2 linked regions of the Rattus norvegicus genome follow. The protein of the gene in region 2 interacts with the protein of the main gene of each other region in a pairwise test. Links are inferred from orthologs where the notes say so. Each region holds a gene or a part of one and is shown on either strand. Other genes may lie near its edges.

Region 1 (6,707 bases), on a different chromosome or scaffold from region 2:
GAAGTTTCCAGAACTTTCCCAAAATGGTGCCACCAGCTGAGGATCCAGGGTCTCAGTCTGTCTATCTTTTGGGAGAAACTGCTCATCCAAACTTTTACCACTTCTTACTGCTGGCTTCTACCCAAACTTCAAATCTCAAATTAGATCATCCCCTCCAGAGAAGCTATAGTTATACTTTCCAACCCATGATGTCCACAGACAAGCCACCAGCCACATACAGCTTGCAGTGAAACCCAGAATGTGGCTACTGCGAATGTAGATGTTAAATGAAGAATATACACCAGATTGTAAAAACTTAGTACTAATTAAAAAAAATGTACAATAGCTTAGTAAATAATTTTATAGTTATATGTGGAAGAATATTTGAACATATTGATTAGGTTAAACTAAACATATTAACGGGGCTTAATTTCAGCTTTTAAAAATCCTTTTAACCTATCTGTAGGAAACTCAAAATTACATGTAGACTGCCTTGGATTCCCCCTGACCGACACACAGGCTAAAAAGGAGGAGCTCCTTTTGTCAGTGTTCCATGTCATGTCAGGACTATTCATCTTTGGGAATTACTAGACAGACAGACTGCGAGCAGCTTGTGGACAAGGGGCTTGCTATACCCTTCTGGAAACTCCAGAAGTAAGAATGGTCAAATAAACAGTCAATAAATTATAATGAATGAATGAATGAATGAATGAATGAATGAAAAATACTCAAAGCTCACTATTTTTGAATTCTACACTTGTGGTTTTGCATAAAGAACCAAAAGAAAATATCCAGAACATGCTTCCTGCATTGTCTGTGCCTGTGCAGAGATCTGAGCTGAGGCCAAACACAGCAGTGTTCTCTTTGATGGTTTCAACTATCGAACTGCACATACGTGTTCTTTCTGGTATATTTACTATGCTTGTGAGAGCTTTGATTTCTGGTTTGCACCTTATGCACCCTGTGGGTGATTTCCCTGCTTAAAATGCCCCCAAGTACTATGCTGAGAAGCTCTCTGGTGTTCCTATGCACAAGGTTCTGTTGTGCCAAATAGAGAAGTGTGTAGATAAAATACCTTTAGGCTTACACTGTAGTGCTATCAGCCACACACCCACTGTTAACAAACACATACGAGGGGTTGGGGATTTAGCTCAGTGGTAGAGTGCTTGCCTAGCAAGCGCAAGGCCCTGGGTTCGGTCCCCAGCTCCGAGAAAAAAAAAAAAAAAACCACATACGAAATAAAGTGCCTCTAATAGAATTAAACATGACAATCACTCATTCACCATGGAGATTTGGCCAAGGAACGTATAAGGAATCTAGGACTGTGACTCTCCTAGAATCAAGGGCTCAGAATTGGCTACTTCAGTGTTCTAGAGACCTCAGGAGAAGTCACTGTATTTGTTGAATTAATAGTCATTTGAGTATGCATACAAATCTTATGTGAATATGGTGGCAGACAAAGAAGTGATTTCAACTTTAATCCTGGCTGACTTTGACGAGCTATACGATTGGGGGCAACTTGCTTCATTGTCCTGGCCTTCTCCCCATTATTCAAAAATGAGGATAAGAGTAACTATTAGTGATTGGGAAGGTCTGGCTGGGTGTAATCTCCCCATTATTCAAAAATGAGGATAAGAGTAACTATTAGTGATTGGGAAGGTCTGGCTGGGTGTAAGGTAGAGGTGGAAAACAGGGCCGATGACCAAGAGGCACAGAGAATTTTGGAATGCGAAAATATTCTCTATCTTGATTATGGGAAGATAATTGTATAACTGATTTTCTTTTTCAAAACTCGTAGAAAACCAAACCTTATTTCAAATAAATTCTAACATTAACCTTAGTTTAAACAAAAACTTTAGTAGTCAAGATTAAATAATGGAGATAAAACAGTACACTCTGTAATTCTTTTTTAAGTATTAGCAGCAGTAATAACAACAAAAACAGGGAAAAGTTAGGCAGTGTAAGTAAGGAAAAGCTGAGGGAACTCGGAAGCCTGGAGTTATAATTTGGCTCTTCCATAGAGTAACAAGAGGCAGAGTTTACTTTACGGAAACCATGTGCTTATTGCTTCTAAACAACACAAGTGAAATGTGTTCTGTATAGACGTATACATGAGTATGAGACTAGATTTGCTTACAAGACAGCAATTATTGAACAACACGAACTGCGGTGTGGGGTAGTAAGTTCATTACCTTGATTCTCTCCAAGGTGAGAGATGAAGCTATGATCGGAAAGCACACTTCTCAGGAATCTTTGCCTTTATTCCTTAACAACACAAACCACAACAAAACTCCAAACTCTAGGGCACCTAGACGCCAAGAAGATCAAAGGGCAGCATAAAGTCTCTGGGCACATGGGATTTCCTGCCCCTAGGTACACTGTTGACTCTCCAGCTGCACCAGCACCTCACCATAGGGCCTCTGGAGTCCTGAGGAACTACAACGCAGAGTCATGAAACAGCACACCACAACTTCGAGCTCCAAGCATGGATTCCAAACCCCCAAGGAGGGCCGCAAGCTGTACCGGAAGCTTGAGTCAAAGTTCCACTCCACCGACACACGGGACTCTTGCAAAATCCGCGGGACTTGAGAGTTTGAAGACCATTAAAGGACAGCATCCATGCACCCGCGTGCTAGAGCCCAGAGCGAGCTACCTGGTCCTAATGGTCGTCCCCAAGGTCAACTGGGCCCGGAACTGAACATAAGGATGCATCCCGCCCGGGAACTCAGCGAAGCTTCAAGCAGTCGACTGCAGGCAGCTCTGCACGCCGGAAGTGCACTAATCCGCAGCACGTGGGGTTGCCAGGGCGAGCTTCACGTGACTGGGCGGGACCTCAGAAAACCTCGAGCCAATGGAAGATCTGGAGGCGGGGCCTGTGGCGGGCCGGGGCCTATCCCGGAAGTGTAGCCGCGGCGGGGCGGGCCCGGGCGGGGCGGGCCGGGGCGGGGAGCCGGGTGTGGGAAGCGTGGCGGCCCCGCCCCGTCTCCTGGACCAGCCGCGGCCGCCAGCGCCGCCGCAGCCGCAGGGACCGGGCGGACGCAGCAAAGGCTTGCGGTGCGGGCCGGAAGGTGAAGACCAGGGGCCGGGCCGGCGGGGCGGGGGACGCAGCTGGTGATGCTGGGGTCCGGGCGAGGGGAGGAGCGGAGATGCTTGGGAACTAGAAGGCAGACGAGCGCGGGACCGCCGGGCTCGGGCCCTTCGCCACTGGGCCGAACCGGGATACCAGGGCGGCGCCGCTGCGGGTCCTAGGCGCGCTGAGGGCCAGGTGCAGCCGGCCGGGTGCTCGTGTCCCAGTCTTTCCCGGACCTGCGGCCTGGCTGATGCCTTGGCAGTGGGGATGGGGTGGAGGGTGGCACCGGGCCCGGCAGCCCGGCGCAGGAAGGTCGCGGCACTTCTTGTGATAGGGTGGTGGGGACCGGACCTGCCGACCCGGCGCTGGTGTCGCCTTCACTCTCCGGCGAGCTCTTCTGCGGCTCCCTCCCCACCTCCCACCAAGGGCTGGAAAAGTTTTCAGAGGCCTGAATGGCAAAGTATACACCACTCAGAGTGGGTGTCCTATAATGCCAAAATAACGGGCTAGTGATGCTCGGCTTGTTATCCGTCTTCAAAATGAGACGTACCCGCCTGCATGCCCGTTATTAAAAAGCAAACAAACTTTTCGCATAGTTCCCTCAGAAAAACCACACATCTCCCCAGCCCACCATGGCAGACGAAATTGATTTCACTACTGGAGATGCAGGGGCTTCCAGCACTTATCCTATGCAGTGCTCAGCCCTGCGCAAAAACGGCTTCGTGGTGCTCAAAGGGCGTCCATGCAAAATCGTGGAGATGTCAACTTCCAAGACTGGGAAGCATGGTCATGCCAAGGTAAGCGCTTCCAGGTCACTCTTTGGCTTCTTGGATAAGATCCTATGTATTCCATTCTACATCATAAGATTTCTATATTTAAAATAACTTTTTTCTTCCCTTGGTCTCTTGAATGATCAGGCATTACTCCCAATAAAACTATCCTTTAATTGGTCCCTTAGAATGTCTCATTAACTGGAAACTAAAACTTTTTTGAATTCTGGTGCTCTAAAACGTCTTGTTTCATTGAAACAAGCCTGTTCTTATAATTCTAAGAGACTTGGTTTTCACTTTCTGTGGACTCTCGTAATTGAAGCGCTGAGATGTGTAGTGTGTTGGGAGTTGGATGCCATGAAACTGTTCTGGTTTGGGGTACTTACTGAATCTCAGTTCTGTGCCACTGCAACTTTTTTAAAGAAAGTGAGACGACCTTGGAGAGAGGTGATAGGATCCATTACAGTCAGCGTCGGGAGTGACATAGCTGACAGAGATTAAACATGTTCCTGCCCTTCCTGCCTCTCTTAGGTACACCTTGTTGGAATTGACATTTTCACTGGCAAAAAATATGAAGATATTTGTCCTTCCACTCACAACATGGATGTTCCAAACATTAAGAGAAATGATTATCAAGTAAGTACTGATTTCCTGAACAGTGTTTCAGAAGTGTGTAAACACCCTCCTTAGTAGTAGTTTGACAAGACTTGAGAGTAGTTTTATAGAGTACGTACCTTACCAATTACTAGACTCCACTTACCTTACAGATTAGAGGAATAGTGTTTTGTTTTGTTTTGTTTTTAATACTTTGTGCCTTTTTTGTTGTGAACTAGGGGACCATATATCTCAGGCTGTCCTTGAACTCAGTATTCATCCAAAGATGATCTTCAGTTTCTGACCCTCCTGCCTCTGCCTATGAGTACTGAGATTGTCCACTGCATCTTCGTGCCTGGCTATCCTGTACTGGAGGTCAAACCCAGGGCCTTGCGCATGCTTTAGGCAAGCAACCTACAGTTGAGCTATCTCTCTAGCTCATTTCTATTCCTATTCCTGCATTTTAAAAATGTTGTATTGAACCAGTGAGATGGCTTAGTTAGGTACTTTCTGTCAAGCCTGACTCTAGAGCTCAATTCCAGAAAGAGAGAACTGTTCTTCACATTTGAGCTATGAAACACACATACCCGCATATGAACATTCACTAGATAAACAAGTATAAGTAGAAATTTTAAATGTAGCATCTAGAGGCAGGAGAACCAGAAAGATTTAAGAAGGTTGGTATCAACTGCATTTACTCAATGACTTATAATGTAAATTTGTAATGTAAAAACAATGTAGACATATTTTTCTAGTTTTAATTTGATGAATAGTTTTATATTTTCACAGTGCCGATTAAATTCTGTATTCTGTATTAAATCTGTAAAAATTTAGAATAATTTGATACTTATATCAAACACCAAAGAAAGTGACATTTTGAGTCAAGTGGATCTGGGCTTGGAACTGGTTCTGGCACTCTCTGGCTAGATGGTCTTTTACAAAGTATTTGTCTTCTCTAAACCTCTGCCTTTGCATCTACAAATCAGAGTGATATGTGGGTTGGATGTGCCCATAAGTAGATGTGCGTTAACAAGTTCTTGTTCTGCTTCATGTATCCTATATCAGAATCCTACTTTCATTATTCTTAGATCATTGGCTTTAGATGTGCTCAGTAAACACTAGTTAAATACACCTTTTTCAGTGTAGCACTGTGTAAGAGTAACATGTCAGATTAAGGCTAAGTATAGAATTTACGTTGGCCAAAATGGGCTTCTTTTCTCATCCTGATTTGTGAGCTCTTAGTATTCATTATATTCAAGCACCACAGACAGGAAAAGCAAAGCCATGTGTAGTTTTTATTCCACACTTCTACCTGTTGGATGTTTCAGCAGGCTACATCAGAGTTCACTATTATTACCAAATTAATGAACCATTGAGGACTACTTGGTTTGGATTTTATGTGGATATTTCATAAGGCCCCAGCATACTCAGCTCCTGTGCAGAGGTGAAGCACATTCAGTCTAAAACAATGCCCACCACAGATTAGCCTTGGGCAGAAGGAGAATTAAAGATTGCCATCCTGTCTCCGTCTCAGATTTTTGTTTTGTCATGTGAGTTTTGTATTCTCATTTTAAATTTTCCTTGTTCTGTGGTTGAGGTGTTTGGGTGTCTTCTCGGGCATGCACCCAAGAAGGCGCCTTGCTTAGTTTGTTCCAGTCCCAACCCTGGAAGTCCACATGGCAGAGTGGATAGCCATGGATGGTGACGGTCAGGCCGCTGGACCTAGGTCTCTGCTTTGGGACTTACTATGGTGTGACCTCGGCTGGCCAGTTATTTGACCTTTCTTGTCTCTTTTACTTCATAAAATTGGGAAGTGGAATCAAAGCTCTCACAGGTTTGCTCTAGGCTCCTGGGAAGGACTCAGGACTGCAGCTCCCCTCTTACAGAATGGCCGGCAGATATTCATTTCTGGTCACTCGTTTAGAATCGGTCCTGTGAGCTTTCTGGTTTATTTATTATGCTCTGGTGATCTTCACTCTTCTATCCATGTGCCTTTGTTAAATCTTTGCTTCTGTTATTATCTGGCTACGTGCAGTTCCTTTGCATCTGCTGAATTCAATATTTTGAGTGCCAGTTTGGCAGCCAGCCAAAGTGGATTGTGAACATCTATTCATTTTAATAATTTAAAAAATAAAAGATTTGGGAGAAAAATATGTTAATATTTACAGATGTAATTTGTGTATACTTAAAATAAGTTCAGGATGCAAGAAAGTGTGTCTCCTGACTCCCATTCCAAGATTGGCTCAGATTCGAATTGCTAATTTTCATTAGTTTTCTCAAAAGAAGTTATAATT
Region 2 (6,382 bases):
GTGGTACAGTCACTGGCTTACCATCCCACAGACCCCTGCCTATTGACTGCCATGGGAGGCAGCATCCAGTACTGGCGAGAAGAGACCTACGAGGCAGAGGGTGGAGCAGGCTGAACTTATGGACCTGACACCAAGGACCCAGACCAATTCAGAAACCCAACAAAAAGGCCATTTATTCTCAAGATGCTGCTGACCAAGGAGAGGGCCCAGGGAGGGGCTGGTATGCAAATAATAAATAAAGGTGTGGCAGAAGCCTCCGTCTTTACCCATCTGCTCAGTCCTCATTCTTCTCAGCTCTGAAGGCATCTGCCTTTTGGGCGAATGTCTCAGCCACCAGCAAGGGGAAAACCAGAGATGCATCAGCATAGACCTGCAGAGGACCTGAGTGAGCCCGGGGCCATGGGGCAGCCCCTGGACCCTGCACCCTGGCTGGCCACCATCTACCTTTACTGGCTGTGCATCCATCCGGATCTTGCCCCAGGAGACAGCCTCATCTGGCCGGGCTCCTGAGTCTGAGCCATCAAACTCCTGGGCTGTGTTGATATAAACAGCGTAGTCAGCTCCATTCCGCTGTGGGTAGAAGAAGGCCTGGTCAGAAGTCATAGACAGAGAGACCACCAGAGCCACAGAGGCTGGGTATGATAGAGGAAGGCCTAGAGAGCTTTTAGAAGGACCCATCGGTACCTGAGGTTCATGGGCAGGTGGTCATGTTTCCAATACAACCACCACCTAGGTACAAGCTGTCCCACCCTAAACCAAATGTACCACTTCTGAGCACCCCATGTGACAAGCCAGTTAAAGCACGGGTGAGAATGGTGTATAGGGGCTGGAGAGATGGTTCGGTGGCTGCCACAAGCCATCTACAGGAGACCAAACCTACCTCTGCTCCCACTACGACACTACTCTGTGCCTCAGATCCATTACCCCACCAGAGAGCATCTGCAAATATGTTCTTCCCAAATCCTGTTCTCATTCAGAGCAAGTTCCTAAATACTCTTTTTGTTCCACAGGCCCAGCTACCTCTGCAGTGTAACCTTTAAGCTGCCTTCACCACTTGAGGTGAAGATGTCTCAGGGCCTTTACCCTGGATGTTCCCTCACTGAGAATGTTCTTCCCATACATAACCTTAAGACTTGTGGATAGCACATCGATCTCTGCTCAAACTTACAATTCCAGAAGCCTGTCCCCAACACTCCCTTCAGTAAACGGCTTTCCTTTCACATTACAACATTTCGCATTGGCCCTGAACTATGAACAAGCCTTCCTCCTGCCTCAGTCTCCCAAGCAGTCACCTTGCCTGACTGACATTACTTAGTCCTCACATGCATGTCACTTATGGCTGTCTGACCTGCCTCACCCCAACATAACTCCAAAGAGGACAGGGACTCTGGCCCATCGAGTGCACTGCTGTAGTGCACATCTAATACCACCATCTCTCAGAGCAGAGGGTGGGGATGGCTGCCAAGAGCCACTCCACTCACCATGAGGTTAGCATTGGCGATGTGGTGCTTGACCACGCCTCCACCCAGGATGATCATCCCAGTGCGCTTGGCGAAAATGGCCTGCATGTTGATGAGCCGCAGGTCTGGGAGAGAGGGCAGAGGTCAGGCCTTGGACTCGGTGGGCTTTTCTCACCCTTCTCCCAGGGCCTTAGCACCTCACCTTCAACGATGTCCAGGACCAAGCCTGGGTTTTTATAGGAATGGAAAAAGATCATGTCACCCAGTGAGCCGTCTGTGAGTGCAGGACTCAGCACAGGTATGTGGTTCTGGTGGAGATAGGACCAGTTAGCAGCTACACCTCATACCCCAGCAAAACTGATGCCCAACCCAGTGGCATCCCTCCCGACCTGAGTAGGCTGCTTGATTTCTCTGGTGCACATGACCCTCTGCTTTGCATGTGGATGCAGACGTGAGGAAAAACCACACATGGCTTGAAGAAGGTACTGGCACACTGAGCAGTGTCTTATTGTCCAGACTCTTGAGCTGCACTGTCCCTGGGCACATGGTACCCTGGGTCAGGCCCCACCGACTTCTAAAGCACTACACCGAGTCCCAGGAGTGTAGGGGCATAGCTAGGAGAACCCTGCAGTCAAGTGACGCCTAGCCTCTCTGTTCGACATTCCTCGTCTAACTCTGGGAAGACCAAGAATGATTACTGAGACTTTTAGGTGGCTACTAAGTCAAACAAGTCATTGCAAGTCAAAGCCTAAGTACTGTCCCCAAGAATACTGTCCCCACCCAACCCACCTTATGGGCCCAATAATACACAGACTCTGGGTTGTTGATCTCCTTCCCAAGCCGGGAGATCATCTTGGAAGGTGTCCACTTCACACCCTAACAAGGGGGAGAATATCAGTATTAGCCCATGTCTTCTGACTCAACTATGCAGGTCCACCTGAGCCCTTCCAGCCCTACCTCTGTATTCTGCTCCTGCACCATCTGGTCTAGGATGGGCATGAGCCAGTCCTCAAACTTGCAATAATTGTCATTTGGCACCAGCAGGTTCCCGATCCTAGAAATGGGATCCATGAGGGCATCAGACACTGGGACCCTCAACGCGGCTTCCCTGCTCCTACCACTACTCAGAGCCTCACCTGTTGATCCCATTCTCCCGGAGCTCCTTCCCCCTGAGGCTGAACTCGCCCAGATATGTGGGTGCCAGGCACTTGATGAGATCTTCTTCCACCCCTCCAGCAGTGGTCACCAGTACATCCACCTGTGGTCACCAGCAACAACACAGACCCTTCTTCAAAGTAGTGCCCCTAACATTGGCCTGAGCTCATCCAGACCCAAAGCATGAGCTCTATGACAAAACCAACTCAAGCCTAAAGCAGACCCAGAAAACGTGGCACACTCTTGTGATCCCAGCACTCAGAAAGGAGGCTGAAGTCTAAGAACTGCCAGTATGGGTCTAGAGAGATGGCTCAGCAGTTAAGAGCACTGACTGCTCTTCCAGAGGTCCTGAGTTCAATTCCCAGCAACCACATGGTGGCTCACAACCATCTGTAATGGGATCTGATGCTCTCTTCTGGTGTACATGAAGACAGTAACAGTGTGCTCATATACAAAGGAAGGAAGGAAGGAAGGAAGGAAGGAAGGAAGGAAGGAAGGAAGGAAGAAACTGCCAGTATGTCTAAAAGCAATACTCCATTTCCTCACACCCTTTAAGATTTATTTTATGTATGTGAATACACTCTCCCTCTCTTCAGACACACAGAAGACCCCATTACAGATGGTTGTGAGTCACCAGGTGGTTGCTGGAAACCAAACCCAAATCTTTCACAGAACAGCAAATACTCTTAATCTCTGAGCCTCTTCATGTTTCTTAAATGAACAATAACCCTTTTGTCTACTGGCCCAGAGAGGCTGGGGCCACTGATCTAACGTGGACCCACCATATTGTGCTGCACGAGGTAGCGAATGGTCTCCCGGATGCCAGAACTGATGAGGTTGGACGTATAGCCCAAGAAAATGGTGCAGCCTGTGAGTGGGCGGCGGCTCTGAGTCAGGTCTTCGTGATGATCTTCATCTACTGCCAGTGGTTCCAGCTTCTTCTCAATCTGGGCATAGGGGCACAGTAAAGTTGCACTAAAACTCCAAACCTCAGTGGAGGAACCCCACATGAATTGGATTCCAGACGTTGATTGCACTCAGGGAGACTACTACAAAACCAAAGCACAACCCCTGTGCAGACCCTAACCCTCCCATTCCAGGTCCTGGTCTGTCACTTGGGGTTTGTTCCCTTTTAAGAACAACACAGTGTCTTCTCTTCAGGACTCCTTCCAGTGGGAAAAGCGAATCCAGGGCTCTCCCAGCGTTAAGCTCCTCCTACAAGCCCGTTTTGATTTTAACCCCAAGCTCCTCCCATCGCGGAACACTAGTTAACCAGGACTCCGCCTCTCCCCGGCACTCACGCGGACGGAGCGGCCCCGCCTCCCACCCGGGTCGCCCGGCGCCTCACCATGGCGTTGACTTGCTGCACCGCGCGCCCGAAGTTGGTGGCCTGGAAGCCGGTGGTGCCGTAGGCTTCCAGAAGCGCGTGGTAATCTACCCCGCGGTTGAAGTCGTAACCTTGGACCTGGGCGCTCTCGGGCGGCAACGCTGAGCTGTGCTTGAGCACAGCGGCCAGCGCCGAGGAGGGCGCCGCCCCCGACGGGGTCCCCTCCATGCGCTCTCGGCCGTTCTCTGGTCACAGCAGTCTCGGTGCCCTGGAACCCGCCAAATCCTTCAGCTTGGTCCGCCGGAGCCCAGGAAATGCGACTCGGGGGCGGGGGAGGGGTACCGGAAGCTACTTGAGTCACATGGCCCTGGCAGCGCCTGCGGGCCTGGTAGCAGCCATTTTATTCCCGTGTTCCGTACATGTGGTCCAGGAGCTGTTTGTTATTCCTTGTAGGCAGATTCAGCTTCAAGTAGATAAAAGTGCCTGATTTGCAAACTGTCTGTCCAAATATTCTTGTCCCCCCATGAGCGAGGTGATTGTTTCTAGGACGGAGCCCTTGGACAAGTTAGTTGCAGACTTTTGTCAAATGGGAGTGTTTTCTTTCGGTGCTTCCTCGAGTCGCTACAAACTTCTTTTCCCCCTACAACCATAGTTCAATTTTCACTGGATCATAGGCCTCTGGGGAGACAGGGATGACCACCATCTTTTTGCCGAAAGAAGTTTGTTGAGAATCTTTTCTCATGCGTCCCCTTTAATGATACACTGAACCTAGGACAGGGGCACCCTCATTCTACAGTTTGTGTAATCTACACTAGAAATAGTGCTCTCTGCTGGGCGCTGCGATTTAGCAATGGACTCTGCCCTCCTGATGACTATAGTCTGATGAACAGGAAACCATTAGGTGGCTAAACCAGCAATCAGGAGGTGGAGGCAAAAGAATCTCGAGTTCCAGGCCAGCCTGAACTATTGAAAGCAAGACCCTTTCTCAACAAAAGGGACGGGCATGGCTAGGGAAATAGCTGTCTGTACAGTCCTTGCTTTGCAAAAAAGCAAGAGTGTGGATTGAATATGTGTGTTTAATTGCCAGAACTCAAGAGGGGTAGGGGGTTGGCAATACCAGTAATAGCTCTGGGTAAGCAGAGACCAGTAGATCCTTGGGGATGGGACCTGAAGAATGGCTCAGTAGCCAAAGGCCCATGATAGAAGAGTCTGGACCTGTTTACATTATTGTCTGACCTCCACAAGCATGCCATGCGTGCACAAGCTCATACACACAGGTTTAGGGACCAGGTGAATGAGAGTGACATCTGAGGTTGTCCTCTGGCCTAGAAAACACACACACTCTGTTAAGTGTGAAGGTGGGTTGGAGGAATTGGTAACCAGAGCTGAGGGAAAAGGTGACTGGAGAAAACTGCCAAACACATGATGTTTTGACTGAGGCCAGAAGACCCAGAAAATTCCTGTTATAAAAATATCAGAGACACTATTTCCCCAAAGATGCACAGATAAAGGTCTCCCCTTCGTTTAACCTCCTCTATAGGCTAGCAGTGCCCAAATGCCACATCTGGCTGCAGGGAGATCTGCAATGGGTAGTATGCAGGAGGGCAAAAGGACTTGAATCCCAAGTGAGAGTCTGATGACACCTACTGCTGTAGGGAACAGGTTCCGTGAAGGTAGCCACACTGCACTGAGTCAGAGAATGATGGCCGATATGCTCAGATAAACCTCAGTCACCATGATTTACAAGCAGAGGAAAGAGCAGCTGGGGACCCAGCAAGAAGTTGACCTCCAGGCCAGTAAGACCATGGCTCAGTGGGTAAAGCCCTTGCTCAGGAGGCCTGGACACCTGAGTTCAATCTCGAAGACTGGCCTGGTAGAACAGTTTCCAGAAAGATGACCTCTGACCCAATTCACATGCAACTCCCCTCCCCTCAACGCACATAAATTTTTTTCAGACAGTGTCACTATGTAACTGACTGGCCTCAACCCACCGAGAAAGATCAACCTGCCTCTGTCTCCTGAGCGCTGGGATAATGAATGCAGTTTTAAAATACAAATTTAAAAGAGGTTGCTGAAGCACTAGTCTTTAGAGAAATCAACACCAGCACCTTGACCTCATATTTCCAGCCAACAATTCCTGGGGTTTCTACAATTCAGTCTGTGGCTTTTTCTTGTAGCAGCTCAGCCAGGCTAATACACTGTTGGATGAACAGATGAACACAACAGTGTCAGGACAATCCTCGGGGGACAGCAGGAAGGATGATAAGCAGGCTGGGTGTGATGGGAGTACCCAGGCTGACTACTCGACGGGAAGAGTCAAGAGTGCCATGTGAGCCTAGGAGTCAAGGACCAGCCTAAATGATGCAGCCCCTGTCTGAGGAACGGTGGTGCTGATCATATAAATAGCAGGAAATTTCAAGAGGAAGTCTGGCAGCAGCCC

The links. The genes of interacting proteins can lie anywhere in the genome.
Region 1: the proteins of Dhps (region 2) and Eif5a2 interact in binary tests that used the Homo sapiens proteins (3 or more experiments, as listed by UniProt). The two-hybrid records come from large-scale screens. The link is inferred for Rattus norvegicus from reciprocal best matches to the Homo sapiens genes DHPS and EIF5A2.

What each region holds. Positions count from the first base shown.
Region 1 is NC_086020.1:113,654,870-113,661,576, forward strand, and holds the start of Eif5a2 (eukaryotic translation initiation factor 5A-2), read left to right. Parts: upstream 1-2,964; 5' UTR 2,965-3,047; intron 3,048-3,645; 5' UTR 3,646-3,681; coding exon 3,682-3,846; intron 3,847-4,350; coding exon 4,351-4,455; intron 4,456-6,707. UniProt on the Homo sapiens protein: Translation factor that promotes translation elongation and termination, particularly upon ribosome stalling at specific amino acid sequence contexts.
Region 2 is NC_086037.1:39,987,175-39,993,556, forward strand, and holds Dhps (deoxyhypusine synthase), read right to left. Parts: upstream 4,245-6,382; 5' UTR 4,171-4,244; coding exon 3,964-4,170; intron 3,563-3,963; coding exon 3,398-3,562; intron 2,719-3,397; coding exon 2,597-2,718; intron 2,515-2,596; coding exon 2,418-2,514; intron 2,337-2,417; coding exon 2,250-2,336; intron 1,769-2,249; coding exon 1,663-1,768; intron 1,586-1,662; coding exon 1,482-1,585; intron 571-1,481; coding exon 445-570; intron 371-444; coding exon 275-370; 3' UTR 154-274; downstream 1-153. Other genes in the region: Wdr83 (WD repeat domain-containing protein 83), read left to right, coding at 32-46. UniProt on the Homo sapiens protein: Catalyzes the NAD-dependent oxidative cleavage of spermidine and the subsequent transfer of the butylamine moiety of spermidine to the epsilon-amino group of a critical lysine residue of the eIF-5A precursor protein to form the intermediate deoxyhypusine residue.